4 linked regions of the Drosophila melanogaster genome follow. The protein of the gene in region 4 interacts with the protein of the main gene of each other region in a pairwise test. Each region holds a gene or a part of one and is shown on either strand. Other genes may lie near its edges. The genes, in order: Crk, Urm1, azot and Fer3HCH.

What was found.
Region 1: the proteins of Fer3HCH (region 4) and Crk interact in a two-hybrid assay, tested with the Drosophila melanogaster proteins (one large-scale study listed by BioGRID).
Region 2: the proteins of Fer3HCH (region 4) and Urm1 interact in a two-hybrid assay, tested with the Drosophila melanogaster proteins (one large-scale study listed by BioGRID).
Region 3: the proteins of Fer3HCH (region 4) and azot interact in a two-hybrid assay, tested with the Drosophila melanogaster proteins (one large-scale study listed by BioGRID).

The regions. Positions count from the first base shown.
Region 1 is NC_004353.4:207,276-214,174, reverse strand, and holds Crk (Crk oncogene), read right to left. Parts: upstream 3,952-6,899; 5' UTR 3,813-3,951; exon of another isoform or gene 3,738-3,812; 5' UTR 3,721-3,737; coding exon 3,689-3,720; intron 3,618-3,688; coding exon 3,495-3,617; intron 2,586-3,494; coding exon 2,381-2,585; intron 2,322-2,380; coding exon 2,193-2,321; intron 2,061-2,192; coding exon of another isoform or gene 1,995-2,060; exon of another isoform or gene 1,901-1,994; intron 1,548-1,900; coding exon 1,446-1,547; intron 1,385-1,445; coding exon 1,160-1,384; 3' UTR 1,010-1,159; downstream 1-1,009. UniProt on the Drosophila melanogaster protein: Adapter protein which interacts with C-terminal portion of mbc, homolog of human DOCK180. May play a role in cellular processes throughout development.
Region 2 is NT_037436.4:7,638,419-7,643,351, reverse strand, and holds Urm1 (Ubiquitin-related modifier 1), read left to right. Parts: upstream 1-2,905; 5' UTR 2,906-2,910; coding exon 2,911-2,948; intron 2,949-3,014; coding exon 3,015-3,082; intron 3,083-3,145; coding exon 3,146-3,227; intron 3,228-3,287; coding exon 3,288-3,336; intron 3,337-3,392; coding exon 3,393-3,461; 3' UTR 3,462-3,541; downstream 3,542-4,933. Other genes in the region: CG7506 (uncharacterized protein), read left to right, coding at 1,769-2,266, 2,325-2,537; Pura (Puratrophin-1-like), read right to left, coding at 4,315-4,511, 4,785-4,933.
Region 3 is NT_033778.4:7,947,278-7,951,872, forward strand, and holds azot (ahuizotl), read left to right. Parts: upstream 1-2,561; 5' UTR 2,562-2,611; coding exon 2,612-3,058; 3' UTR 3,059-3,188; downstream 3,189-4,595. Other genes in the region: CG14764 (uncharacterized protein), read right to left, coding at 328-1,243; CG30378 (uncharacterized protein), read left to right, coding at 3,226-3,672.
Region 4 is NC_004354.4:13,105,990-13,111,099, forward strand, and holds Fer3HCH (ferritin 3 heavy chain homologue), read right to left. Parts: upstream 2,206-5,110; 5' UTR 2,108-2,205; coding exon 1,973-2,107; intron 1,911-1,972; coding exon 1,485-1,910; 3' UTR 1,393-1,484; downstream 1-1,392.

The sequences.
Region 1 (6,899 bases), on a different chromosome or scaffold from region 4:
ATGAACGTCACGATTACAGGAACTATAAAAGCTAGAAGGATGAGATTCAGCATACAGAATCTAGAAAAGACGCAGCGCAGCGTTGACCCATGTTGCCACGCCCACTCTAACGCCTACAAACCGCGCAAAACTGCCACGCCCGCACTTTTGAAAAAGTGTGTTGATATTCTTTAAATATTTTGATTAGTCTTGTAATTTTCTATCGATTTCCCAAAAAACTTTTTGCCACGGCCACTCTAACGCCCTTCAGCCGCCCAAAAATGCTTTGTCGCCCGTTATCAACGTGGTAGCTAGTGGTTTGCTTAGGACCTCTCGTGTTTAGAAGCATTCTCGGCAGAGAACCAGTAGTAGCGCTGGCCTTTTTGTGGGCGTACTCTAGGTGCTCTCGGAACGTGGTATCAGGAGAAGCACTAACTAACTATTGATCTAAAGATACACATTATTTTAACGTTCCAGGAAGATAGGTCTTGCGTGATAATCCACACGAACGACATGAATGAAATCATATGATGCTGCAAAGTATATGTCATAGTTTTAATACTGCGTTGGTGATGCGTCGGTGATTAAGGATTCGACGTCAAATTAGTTTGGGCAGCTTGTAGAGTTGGTGCCTTAGAGGTAGGTTCTGTTAGCCTCGAATTATGGACGTTTGGAAATATCAAATTTTGGAAGGTGGTCGAAGGGCCAAATAAGGACCTCTTTGCGGGTGATAAAAAAACTTCTGGCGTTCTGGCGTTACTCGGAGATGTATCCGGCTTTTGGGGTCTTTGTATATTGAACAGCCTTTATATGGTCAGAAGCGCTTTCTTCCACCTGTTACATACTTTTCAACGAACCTATTGTAGTATTCCCTTTTACTCTACGAGTAACGGGTATAAAAAATATAAGGCCCAAAGGGTTTTCTGTAGCACCTACCGTTTAGTTACACAATTCATAAAAAAAACCAAATCGATTTTCAAATTCATAATTTTTTTGTATAAGAATCATACGAAAAAACGGTAAAAATTTTATTATGTCCTTCGTACCCGTTTATTTTTATTTTACTTAATAAGATTTTAATTTTCTGATTATGTTAACAATTGGTATGCACAACTTATTAATCATACAATTAGCTCAAAAATCAAAATTATCAAAAGAAATTCCTTCCATTCCTTCCTATTTAGCATATTTCTGTGGAGTTTTTGCTTAAATCACAATCATCGACAAATTCAACGTGCGTGAAGGGAAAATGACCATTTTTTCCATTTAATTCTCCCTCCCATTGCCCATTAATGTTTGTTTTAGTGACTTTAATAATGTCACCTATTTCCAATTTTAATGCAGTCTTATCGTATGCGTTAGGGACCCTTGACTGTTTTACGCGGGCGTATGCAGGTAGTTTTCGCTTCGATAAATTAAAATGTAAAACATTATTTTTTTTTTAAATACTTTTTTGGAACACTTACATTTAAATCTGTCCTTTTAAGAGTACTTTCAAATACATTGCTAGATCCCGAAATGGAAGGTTCGTTTTTATCAATAGCATCTTCATCCATATAATCGTCATACTGAAAAGAACAAATTTGAAAATGATTTAACTTTTAAAAATCAATGCCTTTAACAAACTTATTTATCAAAGGTCGTTCGCAATTTGGCCTTCTCTATTTAAGCGGACGAATATATTGAAGGCAATGGAGCTTGTCCATTGTCAGTTTAATTCAATGCAAATGGTTTTTGTAATGGATTTTATAATGTATTGAGATTGTAGTCAGACTTTAAAGAATCTAATCGCAACAATTTAAGGGTATTATTACATGAACTCAATAATTATTTCTGAACAAGTTTCTCGGCTATCAGATACCCGCTAGTCATAAAATAGGCGTGGGGAAAAGAGCTCAATTTACATTTTTTACATACATACATATATTTTTACATATTTACTTCTGGCGACTCTTTGACATTATTGACCCTTATACGTCTCACTAGTTTTCGGGTTTCTTTCTGATTTTACATTATTAATATCCTAGCGTTAGTGTCGCCGTATCGAAAGTTTTATTTGCATTCCATAAAAATTGACGCGACTGGTTTTACCGAATTCACCATTCATTTCAAGTGTAGTATTTTAACATCAGCGTTATAAGGAAACAAAGAAATTAAAAACGGGTTACCCGTTACAAAAAAGGATAACAAATCCAAATATTTGCTTAACGCACCTGTTGTATATAGGGAACCGGTATTTGACCAATTTTCCCCGAGGAGTTACGCGCAGTCCACCATTGATCCTCGTCTTTTCGAACTATTGTTAAAACTTCACCTCTTTGAAAAGGTAAATCATCTTGATCCTTTGATAAATAAGAAAATTAAATTACTTACAAAAATGAATAATTGTGTAAATGCTCACGCTGCCAACGAAATCGAACTTTCCTATTACTTTTTCCACCCTTCTACACGCAGGCCGTTTTAAAGGGGTTGTATCCAAATAATGAAGAGTGTAAAAAGTTAAGAGTTTCGGTAGATTGTCAAAAGACTGATCCCCAATGCGGTAAACGATTTGATCCTGTTGTTGAACTTTGTTAATGATGTAGTTGCTAACTTTTGTATCTTCTCTAAATAATAAAAATCTTTATAAGTAAACAATTCTTTTATAACAGGCGCAAAATCCTTAAAAACTAAACAAAAATTTGTTTCAAGTTTAAATATGAAAACCTATTTTTAATATTCTAATGTATATACATTTATATTAATAAAGAACTTTTAAAATCAAAAAGAATATTCTTGAGACGTTTATTCATCTAATTCTTTAATAAATGCCGCGTGGCGAGACATACAGTAGAAATTGAGTTCCTTTAATTCGTAATTATTTTTGTTTACGTCGTTAAATTCTTCAATTTATTTACCCCGTCAATACATGGCGCACATATTAAAAACATACTAAATTGCAATGGCTATGAGAGATCATCATTGACATTTTATCATCGTCCTTAAAGGTACATTCCATACTAAATTAAAGAAATACAAAATTGACCATAGACCCTTGCCATTGGATCTAAATATCAAACAAAACAAGAGAGAACCCGTTACTCAGCTAGTTGAATGGGAAAGAGAAATTTCAAAAATTTTCTGGGAAAGAAATAATAAAACAAACACAATTTTTAAGGTTTCCCAAAACTGAAACACACAAAATTGATAAAAATTTTTAGATTTCTCTTTCTTATTACTTTTTTCACCCAGGTCTATTAAAAAGAATATCCTTTTTTAATGTAAGAAATTTGTTTATATTTAAAAATTACAGATAAATGTTTAAAGTACATCTATAAAACACGTATACATGCTTAAAATGGAAACAGGAATTTCTATATAAACCTTTATGGTAAGCTGCGATTAAGAAAGGCTGACATTAAGTATTTCTCACTATACACAATTTTTAGTTTAATTTTTAAAATAAAAATTAGCTAACAGAAATGAAACGATAAGTACACAATCAAAGTCTGAATGTATTAATTTTGTTTACTTACCTTACACAAAGTACATAATCCCCTGCTATCGAGTTACTATCACGGACTAAAAACACTCCCCGCTCGCGTTCGTTCATCAAAACTTCAGTAGCATCCTGTCTAGACATGGGACCAAAGTACCAGCTTTAAGAACACATTTTGATGTTAAAACAATTGATAGTTTTTGGTTTAATCTTCACTTGATCTTAAATTACCTGTTCCTATCAGAAACGTCAAATGTATCCATTTCCGTTTAAGGTTTATCTTAGACAAATTACAACAAATTCCGTCCAGATTAAATAAATAGAAATTATGTGATATAATGCAAATATAGCATACAGCCTATTATATACCAGAATTCTTCAGTGATTTCATTTTCGAATTTCTGGCCTTAAAACATTTGCCTTTTATATGTGTATCTGGCTGGGCCACACATAGAAACACTATCGATAATGTTTGATCGATTATTTCCACTTGGAAGTTTTATGCCAATATTGTACCGTAGAACCGTAATGCGGCACTTGCACAGGGCACATTCGATTGAAAAGAACTCCTTCGAGCAACTGCTCTGTGGTGGTAAACCCCTTTAGGACGTACTGTCAGCTTTTAAAATCTAAATGTAAAACCGTGATCAATGCATATCAATTTGATATTCTAATTTTTAAGTAAAACCGATATATTTGTTCTTCTGTTCAATTCAAGGATATTTACAGGAATATTAGGAATACGAATATATCTGGTTGACATGTTATTTTGACTCCACAACTGATCAGCTGTCAATCGTAGAAAATCCGCATATGTTGCTAAGATCGGCAGCTAAATAAGATTTGGAGCAATCCGATCAATCCGCTGTGGAGGGAGCCCACCCTGGGATTGCTAAAGATTCCGAATTGTCTGCACTGGTTTCTTAACCAGTGATTCTACCTGTCCCGATTAGTTTACCACCACAAGGGAACATTGAGTCCGGACTCCCGGCACAAGTTGGCACTTCAGAAATACAATCTGCAGGGCCAAAACCACTCGCGGTGATTCCACTTAAGAAACAAACTTTCGTTTCTCGGTTTTCACCTGATCAAAAATCATCTGATGTATGGTCTTATATGCAAGACAAAACAAAAGTCGATAATATAAAAGTAATATAAAAGTGGAAAAATTTAACTTATCTTACGCTATGGACATAAGATATATAAGATTTTGAAGCTAGGATCAAAAATAGGAAAAAGGGGCCCGTGGGAAATAAACTTTCCTCACATGGCCAGACCACTGCACCATCCGCCTCTTCATCTTCTTCAAAAAACTGACAACGAATCTTTGTCCGAATCTTTTTCCTATCAAAATGCTAGAGGTTTGCGTAGCATACTAATCAAATTATATTGTAATAGCCATTCCTTTGCATGCTCAAGATATGACCAAAGCAAAGACACTAGAATAATTCTAGTGTCTATGATATGACTTTTGCAATAAACAGTTTACATATTTTTTTTATTTTTATATATTTTTGTTTTCTACTTCGTATTATTTTTATGAAATATTTATTTCTCAATGTAATGTCTTCTTTTTGGAAAATGTATGTTTTAAATTAAAGTTGTTATAATAATTTCCGTATATATTTAGTATATTTCTCAAGTCATTTGACTTAATATGATGTATGTAAAATTTTTGTTATTTAAAATGCACATTAGATTTAGTTGTTTTTCAGTTCCAGTTTTTTTTTTTTTTTTTTTTTTTGTTATATTTCAATTTGATATTTTTAACAGCGCGCAATTTCATCAAATATGTAAACTCGTTTCTTCGGTCAGAATTGATTTCGGCCCGAAATCGTCTTCTAGAACAACACGCACACATATACGCGTTCTCGTCTCTTGTTTTTACTTACTCAAGCAAGCAAGTTCTATTTTAAGATTTCTTACGCTCTCAGCGTAAGCTAGCGGACAGAGAGCAATTTTGGCCGTCACCAAAAAAGTGGCTGCATAGTGCCAAACCAAAGACACTAGAATAACAAGATGCGTAACGGCCATACATTGGTTTGGCACTATGCAGCCACTTTTTTGGTGACGGCCAAAATTACTCTCTTTCGGCTCACTCCCGCTGAGAGCGTAAGAAATCTAAAAATATAATTTGCTTGCTTGTGTGAGTAAAAACAAGAGACGAGAACGCGTATAAGTGTGCGTGTTGTGCTAGAAGACGATTTTCGGGCCGAAATCAATTCTGATCGAAGAAACGAATTTACATGGTACATATTAGGGTAGTTTTTGCCAATTTCCTAGCAATATGATAAAATAAAAAAATTTTTAAAAATTCGCGCCCTGAATATTATAATTTTAAAGCTTTTTAAATTTGTTTGTTAAAATCGCCGCTCGAATTAGCTACCGTTTACACATTTATATTTATGTTTAATTCTAATTTGTCTCTCATCTGACAATTTTTTAAAAGCGAAATATTTTTTTTGAAACACTTTTAATGTTAATGTTACATCATATTAAGTCAAATGATTTAATAAATATACTAAATAATTAAATATGCAATTAAATTAAATTGCAAAAGTAATATCAAAGACAATAGAATTATTCTAGTGTCTTTGCTTTGTTCATATCTTGAGGCACGAAGTGCGGACACAAGCACTCAACAATTGCCTTATTAATTTTTCACACACCGCAAGATGAATACTCTAATGACAAATATTCTTATATAAAGTCATTTTTGAAATTTATTTTTGTGATAATATGTACATAGATTTGACTATTTCTAATCTATTTTCAAATAATAATAACGTTAAGGCAATGCAAAACAAGAATTTTTCGCATGGTGCCAATTGATCAAAAATAATATAGATTTAAAGCCAAAGAACTTCTAAGGTGAAGGGCATATTTTGTCAAATTTACAATGCATGTGAATACGTGTGCACACATATAGATGTCTGCTATCACTTTGTGCGTTGAAAAGAGCTGTTCGCTGTAGCGCTCTTCGCTCTCTCGCTCTCTAACAAAAATTCGAGAGAGCCTGGAGCCACCTCTAGAGCCACGGCCAAAAAATCGTGTGCCAAAAAATCGTATGGCGTTACGCATCTTGTTATTCTAGGGTCTTTGGCCAAACCAATGTATGGCCGTTACGCATCTTGTCATTGTAGTGTCTTTGGTATGACCGTCCCTCCAGACGGGGAGGTGGAGTCTTAATTGCGGTTAGATCTATTCTCGCGTCGGAAGAGTTACTTTTGGGCGATCCCCGTAACTCGGAATTCTTATGTGTAAAGCTGTAATTTTCCGACAGTTCAGTTTATATTACGTGCTCGTATATTCCGCCATCTTCTGAATTCCCAGAATATAAGAATCATATGTCCGCTATCCAGTCCATCTTGAATAAACTGTCTGACAGGGACCAATTGGTAGTTCTAGGTGATTTTAATATACCTGGCACAACGTGGTCCCC
Region 2 (4,933 bases), on a different chromosome or scaffold from region 4:
TTTATGGACCAGATAGCTGGATAGAGTGGGTGGCCTCCTGGGGATAGTGGCATAAAAAGGTCGCCAACAAAGCATAAAAATAAATTGATATCACAGCGAATTTGAATGAGCAATATGGTGTTCCTGCTATTTTTCCTGCCCTGCCACTCCTTCGTTCATATATCAGCGCTCCTTTTTTTTTGCATTGAATTATTTTGCCCGCTGCATGTGAAATTTTGACCAAACAATTGCAAAGCAGCAGATACACTTAAAGAAGATGTTTGAGTAACAGAAAATGATTAGATCTTAAAAATATGCTGCAATATATGTAGATTGCACTGAATTCCAATATGTTGCTTTTCGCGTTATAGCCTTAAACTCCTTCTTACTTAAAAACCATTTAACTTCCTGTAAAGATTTTTATCTGTGTAATCATAGTCGTGGAATGAATATGATGCATGAAATAACAATAATGAAATGACAACAAAAGGCACGGATAACAAAAGGATTGCCAGCGAGAAAGAGACAGAAGCACGGATGATGGATAGAGAGGCAGATATGGAGCCACATGACTGGGGCAATTCAAAATCAAATGTGATTTTTGGTCACTTTGAAAATTGTTGATTAGTGACGCCTGAATGCAGCCCAATGAAACCGGAGGCCGCTGCATTAAAGCAATTTCAAGATCTCCGCCCGCCTGTCACTCAACTGCCGGAATCGAAAGGGGTACTACCCTGGGAAATGGGTTAGAGGTTGGTCTGGGATTGGTTGGGATGAGTTGGTCAACTGGACATGGCACTGAAAGTGCAACTCAGCCGGGCGTGCACTTGGCACACTAGTCCCAACAATTGATGGGGTAAAAAAAAATAAAATAAAAAATTAAAACACAAAAATGCCAGAGACCTCTGCGTAACCATAACCTCGGTGCGCACGGCTGTGTGTGGGCGATTCCATTTAAACAATTAAAGCAACATAAATTAAAAATGTGGTCAAGCGCCGGTCACCACCAACAGCGACAAATTGCATGTTCTAGTGGTAACTAGAGCCACATCTGCCACGCCCCCACATCAGTGCCATTAATTCGAGCATATTAATTCGTATCCACATGCCACTCTTCCTTGTGTGTTTTTGGTTTTGGCATAATACCGCAAACGGGAAGCTCCCCCACTCACTTTTCTTGTTAATCAATTACAAACTGCAGTACGTACTCAATATTTGCCGAATTACTAGCTCTATTGTTCCGAATTGGTTGGAAAATCATTGGGAAATACAATCGAATTTTTTGGCAGCAATATCCTAAAGTAGGTCAACACTTTGAATAATATTTGCAAACGCCTTTCCTACCGTTTTAAGCGTGAGTGTAAGTGAATTTTAATCGATGTATAAGTGTTAAATAATCAGCTCCTAATTGGTAAGTACAAGTGTAATTATTATTAATTTTTATTTTTGTATTTTTTAAAGAGAATCTTATCTTATAAGATTGTAATATTGGTCGGTTTAATGTAAATTAATTTTAGCTTAGAAATGTTAGAATTTTAGGATTTTAAATTTTTAATATTTGTTTTTAGTATCAATAAGTAAAAATAGTCAGTATCGATTTAAATTTCCGTTGTCAGTGCAATGTTGCCGTTTCCTGTTTCGGTATTCAAAAGGAGAGTTGGTATATTTTGAATAGACGTATCGTTTCTGGATTCTTTTAGCGCCCAAGTGTGGGCCACACTGCAACTCGTGTTATTTAACGTTCGGCAAAAACAGCTGTTTATTTCTACTGAAATAAGTAAATTACACCATGTTAGGCCTGCGAGCGATGCTGCCAAAAGGGAAACACTTTGCTGTTGTCCTGGGAAATGTCAGCCGTCAGATTACCCTGCCCCACAACTGCAGATGCATTACTAGTGCCTCATGGACAAGACCACAGCAGTCACAACCACAGAACTTCCAGCAAAACAGGTGGCTTTCGGTGAAGTCGACGAAAACTGAATCCGACGATGCACTGCAGCGGATCTACTATGGAACTCTTGCGCCACGCATGAAAATGGTCAAGTTCTTTTCGCTGAGCACCAGCTTAGCCGGCTTGGCCGCCCAGCCCATTCTTCTCGAGCAGGGAATGAAAATCGGAGGAACTGGAATGGCCGTATTCCTCTGCACCGTCGGTGGATTCTTCACCTTTGTGACTCCTCTGCTGCTGCACTTTATTACCAAGAAATACGTGACGGAGCTGCACTACAATCCACTAACGGAGGAGTACACGGCCACCACAATATCCCTGCTTCTGCAAAAAATCAAGGTGGGTAGAGCAAATTTAAAAGAGCTTGCCTTCAATGTACATATTATTTACCTTTTAGACTACTTTCCGACCAAATGATGTGGTCGTTCCGGAGGTTCCCGGCATGTTCACCTCTTTTCTGGTCAACAAACGACCTCTGTTTGTGGATCCAGCGCTTTTCGATGATCCCGAGCACTATGTTAAGATAATGGGTTACGACAAACCGATCGATTTCAAACTGGATCTGACTCCGAATCCTGAAAAGTCGAAAACGAGCGAGGAGAAGCAATAAAAAAAACGCTCTTTATGATAACGTGTTTTTTTTAATTTCATAAATTCACAACGAAATGTAAAATGTCTTCTTAGAGCACAGATCATAATATGCTAATGAAAACTTTACCTAGCGTTCCATTGGAATGCCACCTGTTTATGTTTCTCAATGGGAATAATTATAATGCTGAGTCCCCTCGTCGAAGGTGAATGGTAAAGGTAAATTTACGTACAAATTATAATTTCTTTCAAAATGCAATAATTTTTGGAAGTTTAGAGCATGTGGTTGCCAGACTTTTTAGAAATTAGGATTCTATATTTGGTATTATTTTTGAATGGTGGATTTTTTTGAAAAGCTTAGACGCGGTCACACATTTATTTACATCGAACATATGATGGGCACGCCGGAATTAAAAATCATATTAGAATTCAGGTATATAAAGCCTTGTTCGAATTATTATTTCCAATAAATGAGACAATTTGTAATTTAATTTCGTAGTGCAGGGGCGGAGTTACTATTTGGTAACATAAAACGCCGTGAATTGAACTTGGACGGTAAACAAAAATGTATGTTCTAAAAGATGTTTTAAACTTGAGTGAAATCGGTTATGAATTATATATATTTTAAAGGGACTATTGCTAATCTGCTTAAGTGGATGCATGCGAATATTTTAACGGAGCGTCCGGAACTTTTTCTTCAAGGAGATACTGTGTAAGTTTGGCTTAAACTATAAGGGATACATAGTCTATACTTTCTATTGTATGTTTTCAGGCGACCTGGAATTTTAGTACTCATAAATGATACAGACTGGGAATTGCTGGTAAGTAAGAGTACAGAATATGGAATTCTAAAAACTATAATTAACTCAACTTCTAGGGTGAACTGGACTACGAGCTGCAGCCCAACGACAATGTGTTGTTTATATCAACTTTACACGGTGGTTAAAAAACGTTCTGGAATCTAAATTATAGGAGAAAAGTTTATTTTTATACTACAACCCATTAAATTGTATTCAAAAAACAAACAAAAACAGTTTTTGACTGAATCAGAATTACGTCCCTTTACCAGAGGCAAAGGCCCACACGATGGTTCGGGTAGTAAAGTTTTCATCATATCATCTAGAGATTGTAAGCTAGCAGGTTTTCGCTATTTATAAAAGCACAGCATTGAACAAGCACTTGGGAATTGTAGGGAAGTTAAAAATAGAACAATCCAGATGCGGTTTGGCGGGTAATTCGAAGTAAGGACAACACGTTAGTTTTACATTGAAGCAACATTTATTGAATTTAAATTTTCGCTTAAAATTATTTATCGAGTTATTATGAAGTATAGATATATTTTTTTAATGTTCGTTTACGATTATTTTAACTATAGGCACTTAGGTTACATATCAACTAACTGTACGTAATGAAGTTCGATTCAGATATGTTGGGCATCGGCCACGCCCCTTTTTCGGGTGCTGCTCATGGCTCCCATCGATTTCTGTGTGTGTGTGGTGCGGATCGTTCGATTGTGTGGACTAAGAACTAGATATGTATGAAACTTGCTTCGACATTGACACGCTGAATTCAATAATTTCGACTGATTTTTCCGATAAACAAGGCAAAACGAAAAGCAGCGACTATGACAAATTAACGAAAACTAAAAATGTAATAAATAATAAATAACAAAAATAATGAAATAAAATTAGCGATCGAACGTAATACGATGATACTACATGGGATCCGATGAAACCGTTCTGCTAAAGCTATTAATGGGGATTTATACTATATCTAGATGCGATGCTCCAGGAGCTCCTCTATTTGCCGCTTTCCGGACTGGCGGACTCCGCTGCGTGGGCGTAGGATCGATATCGCCGCAGGATTACCGTGGATGCACTCGTCGTTGAAGCTCCGGATGCTCCAGTCGTTGATGTGGACCAACTGCTTCGGCTGCTCTCCGCCGCCGATTGTTCCTGATCCGGGGTAACGCACATGTCCGAGACAATGCCGCTCTCTGAATGGGGGGATATTTACACATATTGGATATTATATTTCGGATTCGAACAGGTGGCGCCAAAGCGCCAACAACATATAACATGGATCTAAAAACATGCAGCACACGGACAGGCACGGATTACGGGTTAGGTTTTGGTGTTTGTGTTGGTGTTGGTGGGGGATTATATACAGTAATACTGGGGTGTTCTTCGAGATTATGTACAGGGATCAACTACTAGCTACGGGATGCATCTGGGGGCCTAGAAGAAGTAGCACAGTTCAAGCTCTATACCCATGGACAGTTGGCTGACAATGGTCGTCGATCGTTTGTGGTTTCGTTTGCTGCTCCTGAATGCGTTTCCGTTGCCATTTCCGTTTCCGGAAGTGTTGCCTCCGTCGGCGGCCGTATCCGCCCCCTTGATTCCACCTCCACTCGGGGAT
Region 3 (4,595 bases), on a different chromosome or scaffold from region 4:
TGTTGACTACTTAGTTTGGGAAATGCCGGTCGAATAAAAATGAATTGTTCGTTAAGAAAGGCAATGTCACTTTTGCCATCAATCCCAATTCAGGTGGTAATTACATAAATTTCCCCGATGTGAGTGCCATCAACGGAATGCCGTGCAAATGACAGTTATTAGTACACGAGCCTAGCCCCGAAGGAGAGCTTGGGGGTTGGAGGTTTGAACGTACGTTTGATTGATTTATATTGGCGTCAGGCAGTGACTGAGGAACATTTCTAATGACAGTTTTACATATCCCTATGACGCCACCACCACCACCACCACCCATCCCACCCGACTCACCGATCGGATCGATGCACTCGAGGGTGAGGCAGCACTTCAGCCAGGGAAGCATGATCTTCTCGGCCACCAAGGAGCTGTCCGAGAAGAAGACAGCATCCAGGTCGACCATCCGAAGAAAGTTAAACTCCTCAGCTTTCGACTCAAAGTAGTCGAACATTTTTGGATGCGTCAGAGAGGATACCGCCGTCGCTGTGTTCCATCCGAGCACTCCAGCGGACTTGACTGCAGATTTTCCCACTCCTGGATTCATAACGATGCTCTGCAGACTTCGCAGCTGGGCGGAACCTCCGCGCACGCGCATGCTGTTTTCCAAGAAGAGAACCGATCGGGCACGCATAAGACCGTCCTTAATTACAATGGGCCGGTAGGCGTGCGTCCGCTGATCGGCGACGAAGGAGGGAAACTCCGACAGATCATAGGTGATCACCGAGCATCGGCTGTTATTACAGTAGGCGCCCAAATCCCGTAGTTGCTCCTCGGAAACGCCCAAATCGTAGATTAGCAGGTACTCGCTGGGAAGCTTGGCGGCAATATTCTGGGCCAGCAGGATGGCCGATGCGGCCTGCCCCTCCAGCACATAGCTGACGATTGTGAAGTTGCTCTTTGTACCGTTGTACGGCGTCGTGATCCGCTTCCGCTGCCCCTTTTGATCTCCTGCCTGACTACCGAAGGTAACAGCATCCTGTGGACGCCGCAGACCTCGCAGTTCGCTGAGCTCCAGTTCCGCTTTTGTAGCCGGCGCTGAAAAATCTGTCTTTGGCAGTTGCTGACCTGGTGAACCGATGTCCACCACATTTTGCTGATCCAGCTGCTGCTGTTGGCCTGTAGCTTCATTTGACGAGGTGAAGCCCAGAAGAAGCAAATACTTTGGGTCTATTTCGAGCTTTTTGCGTTCCAAGCCAACGCGGAGGTTTTCCTGCAAGAAAAAAAATTAAATTTGCAATAAATGAATATTTTTGGTTTATCCAAGAAATAAACAAGAGATTTATTATTTAAGTTTTGACATACGGTTCCCGAACCCCACTCTTAGAAAATTATTTATGTCGGGCCAGGCGGCGTTAATGGTCAAAAAATATGGCCAGAATTTGCCTCGTCATAGGAACAATTCCGAAACACACATGTGAGATATGTTTCCATTATGGCCCTCTAGCACACTTCCTCTGTTTCGCCGAAACTAGCCCAAACAAATACCCAAACACAACCAAAAATCAAATGAGCCGCACAATGGAACCCTCTCGTGCCGATGTCAAATTCTTGTCTATTATTTGCTTAGACTGTGGCCAGAGTAAAGCGTGCCGCATTCTCTGCCCACCCCCCCGGGCACTACCACTCCTCCGGCAGCCAAAAACCGGTGTCAGGTGTGTCCCACTGCGGTCAGGTGAAAGGGCCGAGGGGGAGAAGCACTGGAATTAACCTGCGGCAAAAAGGCAGCCGCCAAAGTTGCAGGCTAGGCGCCAAACCCAAATCGCATGACAACCTTTCTGTGCCGATAGCAACCACTACACTTGTATGGCAGTACACTCAAAACACTCTTGTTAAGTATGAATAGTATGGTATGCTGATTCATAGATAGATTATTTAATGTATAGCAAAACTTACGAATAAGTTTAAGCAATCAAGAACAAAATCTTACATTTACATTTTTATACCAGTTACTCGTGAAGCTAAAGGAGTTATTCATCCAGATCACTAGTCGATCTGGATAAGCCCGTCTGTCCTTCCGTCTGCCTGTCCGTCCGTATGAACGTCGAGATCTCGGGAACTATAAAAGTTCACTAATGTTGTTTTCATTCTACACAAATATTTTGGCGTTGCAAACTTCTGTTGAGTTCTTGTATTTCGAATAGCGAAAAGATGAGCCTTTTTTTTCTTGAGTGTGCGTTGGAACAATGACGGTGATTGTACACATTCTTACTCCTTAACTTTCCTCGAACGGCACTCTCCTTCTGTTTTGTTAACGAACAACGAAAGATACTAGCTGACGTCCGTTGCTGGGTCGCAATTGAAACCGATCAGCTGCAAGGCCTCCTCGCCCAAGGACATTCGAATCAATCAACTCTGTCCGTGCGGCACTGCGCTTATATAACGAGCATATTGATTTTGTGCCATTCGGTGTTGTGCACTGTGCAGCGCAGTGAAGCCACCGGGGGATGTTCATTTTACCATTTTTCACATTTCACTGAGTTCAATGTCAGGACCTTGTTTCATCCAAACATCAGTTGACACCTACATATAAACAGAGCAATATACAACTCTTCCGAGAAACTATAATATACCAGTTAAGATGGAGGATATTTCGCATGAGGAGCGAGTCCTGATCCTTGACACTTTCCGTATTTTGGACAAGGACAACGAGGGCGCCATAACATCTAAAGAGATGGCGGTGGTGATTCGCGCCCTGGGTCGCCAGCCCAACGACGCCGAGGTTCAGTCCATGATCAATGAGGTGGATTCGGAGGGAAACGGATCCATCGTGGCTCCGGAGTTCTGCAATGTGATTCTGCGCAAGATGCGCGACACCAACCATGAGGACGAGCTGCGCGAAGCTTTCCGAATTTTCGACAAGGATAACAATGGCTACATTACCACCACCGAGCTAAAAAATGTGTTCACCGCGCTGGGCGTAAAGCTCAGCGACGACGAGTTGGAAGAAATGATACGCGAGTACGACTTGGATCAGGACAATCACTTGAATTACGAGGAGTTCGTCAACATGATGACAATGCGATAGCCTCCATGTGAGTACTCGTATAGAAGGCTGGCTTGATTTCTATCCAACAAAAAGTCGGCGTTCTGTCTGTGTTCAGTTTAAATTCTTTATGTTCACACTGACAAAAGCACATGAAACATTAGTCCACTACAAAAAAAAAAAAAAAAAAGAAAATCACTTTGGAAACAATGAGCGGCAGTTTGACCGAGGCCCAGATTGAAGAAATTCGAGAAGCATTCAGTTTGTATGACAAGGAACGGTCCGGATGGGTTTCCGTCCAACAGCTCGGCGGAGTAATGCGGGCCCTTGGAGAGAGTCTCACCGAGGCGGAGATCTACGACCTGGCCAACGAAAGTAACGCCGACTTCGGTGGGCAGGTGCAGTTCAAGGACTTTCTATACGTGATGAGCAAACGGCTGGAGGAGCAGAACAGTCTGGTGTGCCTAAAGCAGGCCTTCAAAATCTTCGATCGCAGCGAAGTGAACAGCTTTACAATTAACGAGATCAGAATGGTGATGACCAACCTGGGCGAGAAGATGTCCGAAGAGGACTTGCGCGAGTTGTTCCAGGACATTGATCAGGACAAAGATGGAAAGATCTCCTTCAACGAATTTGTTACCGCCATGCGAAGCTAGGAATTCCAAATTGAAGGCACAAATTAACCACGAACCCCTTTCGAAAGAGCCCAACCCAGTCGCGTTTTCCCTACGCCTAGGCGGCACCACTTGAAATTCCCAACCAAATTCCTTTGGCTTACTCAACGCAGCGCCAGAAAGTCGGCTGTTAAACCTTGTCCGAAGAAGTCCACTTGTGTGTGTCCATGTGGCACGGCGCGTGACTCCGAAACGGTCGCATGTGCCTAATGGCCGCTGGGGAGTGCCAGGATATTCGAAAGGGTGATGGCGATGGGCCAGAGCAATCATAAAATCGAGCCACGCTGATTACGATGCCAATTTAAATATTTGACCATGTGCTGGACTGGACTGGACTCGCTGGTTTCCTTTTTGTCTGACCAAGTTTACAAGTGGCATGATTTTGGGTTCAAGTCTTATCGCACCTTGCTCTTTTTAAATTACCTTGTTATCTATTGGCACCCTTAATACGCATACAACATACATTGTCCATGACTCATTCGGCAATTATAAAAGCCCACCTTGGCAATAAAATATTGTCAAGTGACTAGTGACTAATAATTTGTAAGGGGGAAAGGTTTATAAATTTGAATGCGCCTTCGTGCATGGATTTCAGAACATATATAAAAGAAAATCATGTATAGAGAAAGAATAATTGATGCCGAATTCGGAGAAATATTTCGGGGCTGGGATGCATTACTCGGAAAGATTTCACGATTTCGTCATTGCTAATCCTATTTGTAAAAGGTAAATACCCACAATAACCCCAAAAATACTTAATTATGCTTAATTGAAAAATTAAAACATTAGCTTCTTTATTTTACATCCACTTACAGTTAACCCACGGACTTATTAATGTTAATCAAAAGTCGAGAGGTCATTCCGACGTTCATATGTTTCTAGCGCTTCATATGGATAATTTAAAT
Region 4 (5,110 bases):
TTTTAATTACACGTTCGTTGTTTTTATAGCACAAATGAACGGCTCTCAGGGTGTATCGATAACTCGAGTAATGTCTAACAGCATTACCTCCACTCAAAATTGATGTGATTTAGTAACTAAAAAGACGATATAATAATACACATGCTATCCACATAAGTGTACAAGGGTGTAACTTAAGACTCAATTCAAAATTAAACGATTTATAATGCAAGTCATTAAGATCTTTAAGATCTAAACTAGGGCTTATATTGATAGATCTAAAAGGCGACACCTTTGCATCGTCACAAGTGACATACAGAGACATATGTTATGGCATACGGATCAGGTACATATATACAGATATATATATATATAGCATATGGGCAGCTGGCAATCTCGTCTCTCTAGGCTTTTCACATTTCCAGCTGCAAATTGTATTGGATTGGACAGAAATCTTAATTGGGACAAGTACGCCGTCGACCAGACACCGAGTTTTTCTAACGCCCGCCCGCCGGGGGAGGATTACTACTACTACAGATCATCTCGTCTGGTCTGGTCTAGTCCGCAGCTTATGGCAATTTATTGGGGCCGCATCTGTATCGCACTGTATGTATGTACAGTCTGCCTTCGTATAAATGCCTCCGAACCTCAGACTTTAGACCGGAAATGCGACGCGCTTTTCAATTAAAGCCCCGCCAAGATCTTACCATTCAGTTCAGCATTCAGTTCTGAATGAACGATCCCTACGATCTGGATGAGTTTGTTGGTCAATGTGGGAATGCCCCCACAAACTTCCAGAGGGGTTCATGATTTCGGAAATTAGATCAGGGAAAATTTAATTTGATTTAGAACGAAGTTTCGCAATTCTGTACTTATTTCATATTATATTCTATGTAACTAAATGAATGAGTTACTATATTTGTCGTGTCTTGCCGACTTTCACGATCTCAATCTATATAGATATAGATAACCTATTAATACGTCACAAATGCTTATCATATAGACCAACTGCTTCATCATCAAGTTCCAAGTGTTTTATTATATAATGGGTAGAACAAGCGTAGTTAAATGTCAGGCTTCTTTTAACTTTTATCTTTATAGATTCGAGATTATCAACTGTTATCATATATATAACAGAAATATTGTGTCATTTGATTAGAAACGTATTTACAGAACTGGATAAAGCAGATGAGTTACTATCCAATACCATCAACACTGTGGTCCAACTAAAGGGTTATCAGATGGGTTTAGCTGTTGATTTCGTGAAGCTTTGTTTTTGGACTCAGTTTCGGTGTCGATTTCAATTAGAATCTTGCGCAACTCTTGGAGCCGATAAGCGAGTATATTTATAGAGTTAGTTTTACGCCAGCCACTTGATAATGTGGCAGCAAAAAAAAAAAAAAAAAAACAATTGATCGGCCAAAAAACGAATCTTTACTGAACACACATGGGTTTGCCAATTATAATACGTATTCTTCATCGGATGGTTGTCCATTTTGAGGTATTCATTTCGCAGGATGCATGCCGCTGCCCATATACTTGTCGAACAGGAATTCGCCCACCTGGTTTTGTGCCTTCTCCAATTGGCTAATATAGTCGGCCAGAATCTTCTGGCCATCCACTTGCTCCTGCAGGAAATTGGCCTCGATGAAATCGCAGAGATTCGGATCCGCTTCCTTGCCAGCCAGGGCGTGCAAATCGAGCAGATGCTTATTGACCTCCAGTTCCATTTTCATTGCGTGCTTTAGTGCATCCAAGGTGCTGGCGAAACAGGGCAACGGCTGTGGTACACTGCTCAAAATGATTAGACCACCACGCTTGTTCATGTACGTCATGATCTTCTCCGCGTGCTCCCGCTCCTCGACGCTCGCCTTTAGGAAGAATCGATGCATTCCGGGTGAACTGATATCGGAGCGATCGAAATGGTAGGCCTACGTGTATTGAACGTACTATATGCATATATATATATTCCCTATTGACTGCGGAACCTTACCATGGCCAGATACTGGTGGGATGCCTTCAACTCCATGTTGATCTGATCGTTTAGCTTCTTCTCGCAACTTTTGGCGAAGTTCTGACGCACCAGCATGCACATGTGGCGCCGAATGTCGCGGAAGCACCACGCCATGTCTTTTGCTTCTTTTTGAGTTTTTTTCTATCTTTTTTTTTTTTTTTTGTTTTTGAAAATTTAGAAACCTATACAATTTGGAATTGAAAGTCAAAACACAAACAGTGTGTCTAAAAGGCAACTGGGTCGGTTCGGACAGGTGTCGATGGATCGGATACGATCCATCTAAGTTCGTCCATTGATCTCATCTCCAAATATCCAGATCTTCACATCTCCGCATCGATCTCCGATCTCGCGATCTGGAGGAGGTGTTGATCCACCGTTCGGACGGCCAAAAAACAACGGGTTGGAGTTCAAAGTGCTGCCGGCTCTGATTTCACTTAACTTCCACTTAGCAATAGTGTGTACACAATCTCTCACTCGGTTTGTTCGCATCTATATACGTTCGTACGTATAGCTTATAGATACAGATACATATGTATATATGTACATATATAGTTAAATATCTGTGTCCAGATATGTTTGCTTTAACTTCAACAAGTACACACGAACACGGACACACTAAGTAAACGCAGTTATTGTCTTTTATTAAGTGAATGGAAGACGACTTTTGTCCGAGTTTTGTATAATCGTGTTATACCCTTTCTCATAGGGTATTTGAACGCTTTTCCCAAAATATTGCTGATACAGAAAATTGCGACAGCCAATGCAAGTTAAAATAAGAAATTTAATTTATTAAAGGATAGAAAACATAATATTATATTTTGTATTTCAAATGAAATGCTTTCGTAGGCGAGTTCAACGCGTCTTACAGGTTTAGGGTATTGAAAATGTAAAGATCTCCCAAGCCGAGGTTTCCAAACATTTCCTATAAACATCCAGGTGGTCAAAACTACTCGCACTTTACTACAAACATCCACTCATTACGCACATTTAAAAAACCAACAAAGCAATGGTGACTCTTGAAGCCATGTGCGCCCCATAAAAAGGCAATAATAAAGATATAAATGGTTCATTTTCACCGACACACAGGAAAACGAACCGAGAAAAAAAACACATAGGAGTTATGCAAATCATCGTTGAACTGGACAATAACAACCCAAATAAAAAATAGCAAACATTTTTAGATGAGTCTTTACGTTTTTTTTTTTCAAGCATTATGAAACAATTTTCCCTATGATTGTGATTAAATAATATATACACTTATTAAGTGAACGATGACATATGATCTTGTGTGTTTATAGAGGCAATTAACATGTTTAGTTCATTATGCAACAGTCGCAATAAAAATGAAAATTATTATCTTATTCAATATTTAAGGGTCAAATGGAAAGGCTTTTGAACACAGAAAAATTTCTAGAATTTTGTAGAAGATTTTACAGGCATTAAAGTTCTATAATTACTTAAGCATATTGAATTTCAACAAAATCCACATCGGAACTCAGTTAAATTTCAAATTCCACTCCCGTAATGCCAACAAGATTTTAATTTGGACAAGTGTGACAGCTTCAGCGACACATTTACATCACCTCCAAAATAATGGCAACAATCCAGTTTGCAGTGTCATAAAAACGTGCAACAAATTATTAACATTAAATTAAGCTGCGGAGTCACAAAAAAATTTTTATATACATTCGACGTGTTAACACAAAACTCAAACGTCAGCATATGAGGTAAAAAAAAAAAAACAAAATCCAACATAATTTGCTGAACATGAGGTCGAAAATAGCGTACGGCATACGAAAATATTTAATCGATTTGAGCTATTGTCGGCATGATACTCTTTCAAAGAGCATACAAACTTGTTCCAAAAATTAAACTATATATTAAAAAAATATTCAATTGTATGTATATAATTAAGTGTTATAAATGTGTACCATCTTAATTTTGGTATAAATATAAGCTGCTAAAATATCTATTACATCTTAAGGGGTATTCCCGTCTCGACTATTTCAGAATATCACGTATTTCTTTGCGCACATTGTTCAATTCAATAAATTGTGGCTTCGATCGCCGTCGCCAACATACGAATAATTTACAATACATACGAACGGTGTATCAGTTAACATTCATTTACTTTTGCTGCTGGTCATAATTTCCAATGCGTTTATTTATTTAAATTTTAATTTACAAGCACCCGATCGTCTGGAATTTACAGTCAGTCGCAGTGCATGCAAAACTGTGAAATACGATCGTTAAACGGGGAAATGAGTGCGGGAAAATTTGAGAACTTTCCACAAGGCATAAGACTAGTGTAAATAAAATTCAAAGGGTTGGCGGAACAATTCAAATCGAAGTAATATATATGTACATAAAAACTGTTCGAAAATCAATGCAAAATCGAATTGGTCATTTATAGGCATTGTGGAATGGGTCATTGCACTTTAAGCAACATGTGAAACAAATGTTCGGTGCTAATTACAGTGACCGCTTGGAAAGTATAACTTGTTGATTGGGCGGTTTCTAAGGGGAAACTAGAAGTCTCATTATGGGGAACACGTGTTGTGCCCAGGAAGTGAAGAGGTTTTCATTTTGGATCTAATCCTTCGAATATCCATACGTTCTAGTTTTTAGTATTGCATGTTGCTTGAATGCTGCATCTGGAACAAAACGTATGTTTTCAGAGAGATCTGAAACAGTCTAATGCCATTTTTTATATTCCTTAGAATGGATTTCCAGTTCCTTATTGCATCTAGCACTTTTCTATGCTTACAGAAGGTGTTGAGATGTCTTTAGCTTTGATCAATCCTGGTTAAAGAAATTCAGGGTAGTCGTCGAGTGTGGCGTTCCGGCGATAAGCAGGAAGGTCAATAAAGCCTTATCAGCACTGTCCGTTGTTCGATGATATATATATATATATATATATATATACATATGAGACATGTGTGGCCAATGCCGTCGACGACTAAACATTTGCATTTTCGTCTACCATTTCACAGAAAGCCGAGGAGGCGCCGCAAATCGAAGCGGATTGCGATTTGAGAAACACAATTTCGTGGATTTGTATTCCGATTATTCTATTGATTAGAGGCAGCACGAGCACTCACGCTTTTTACTTAAATC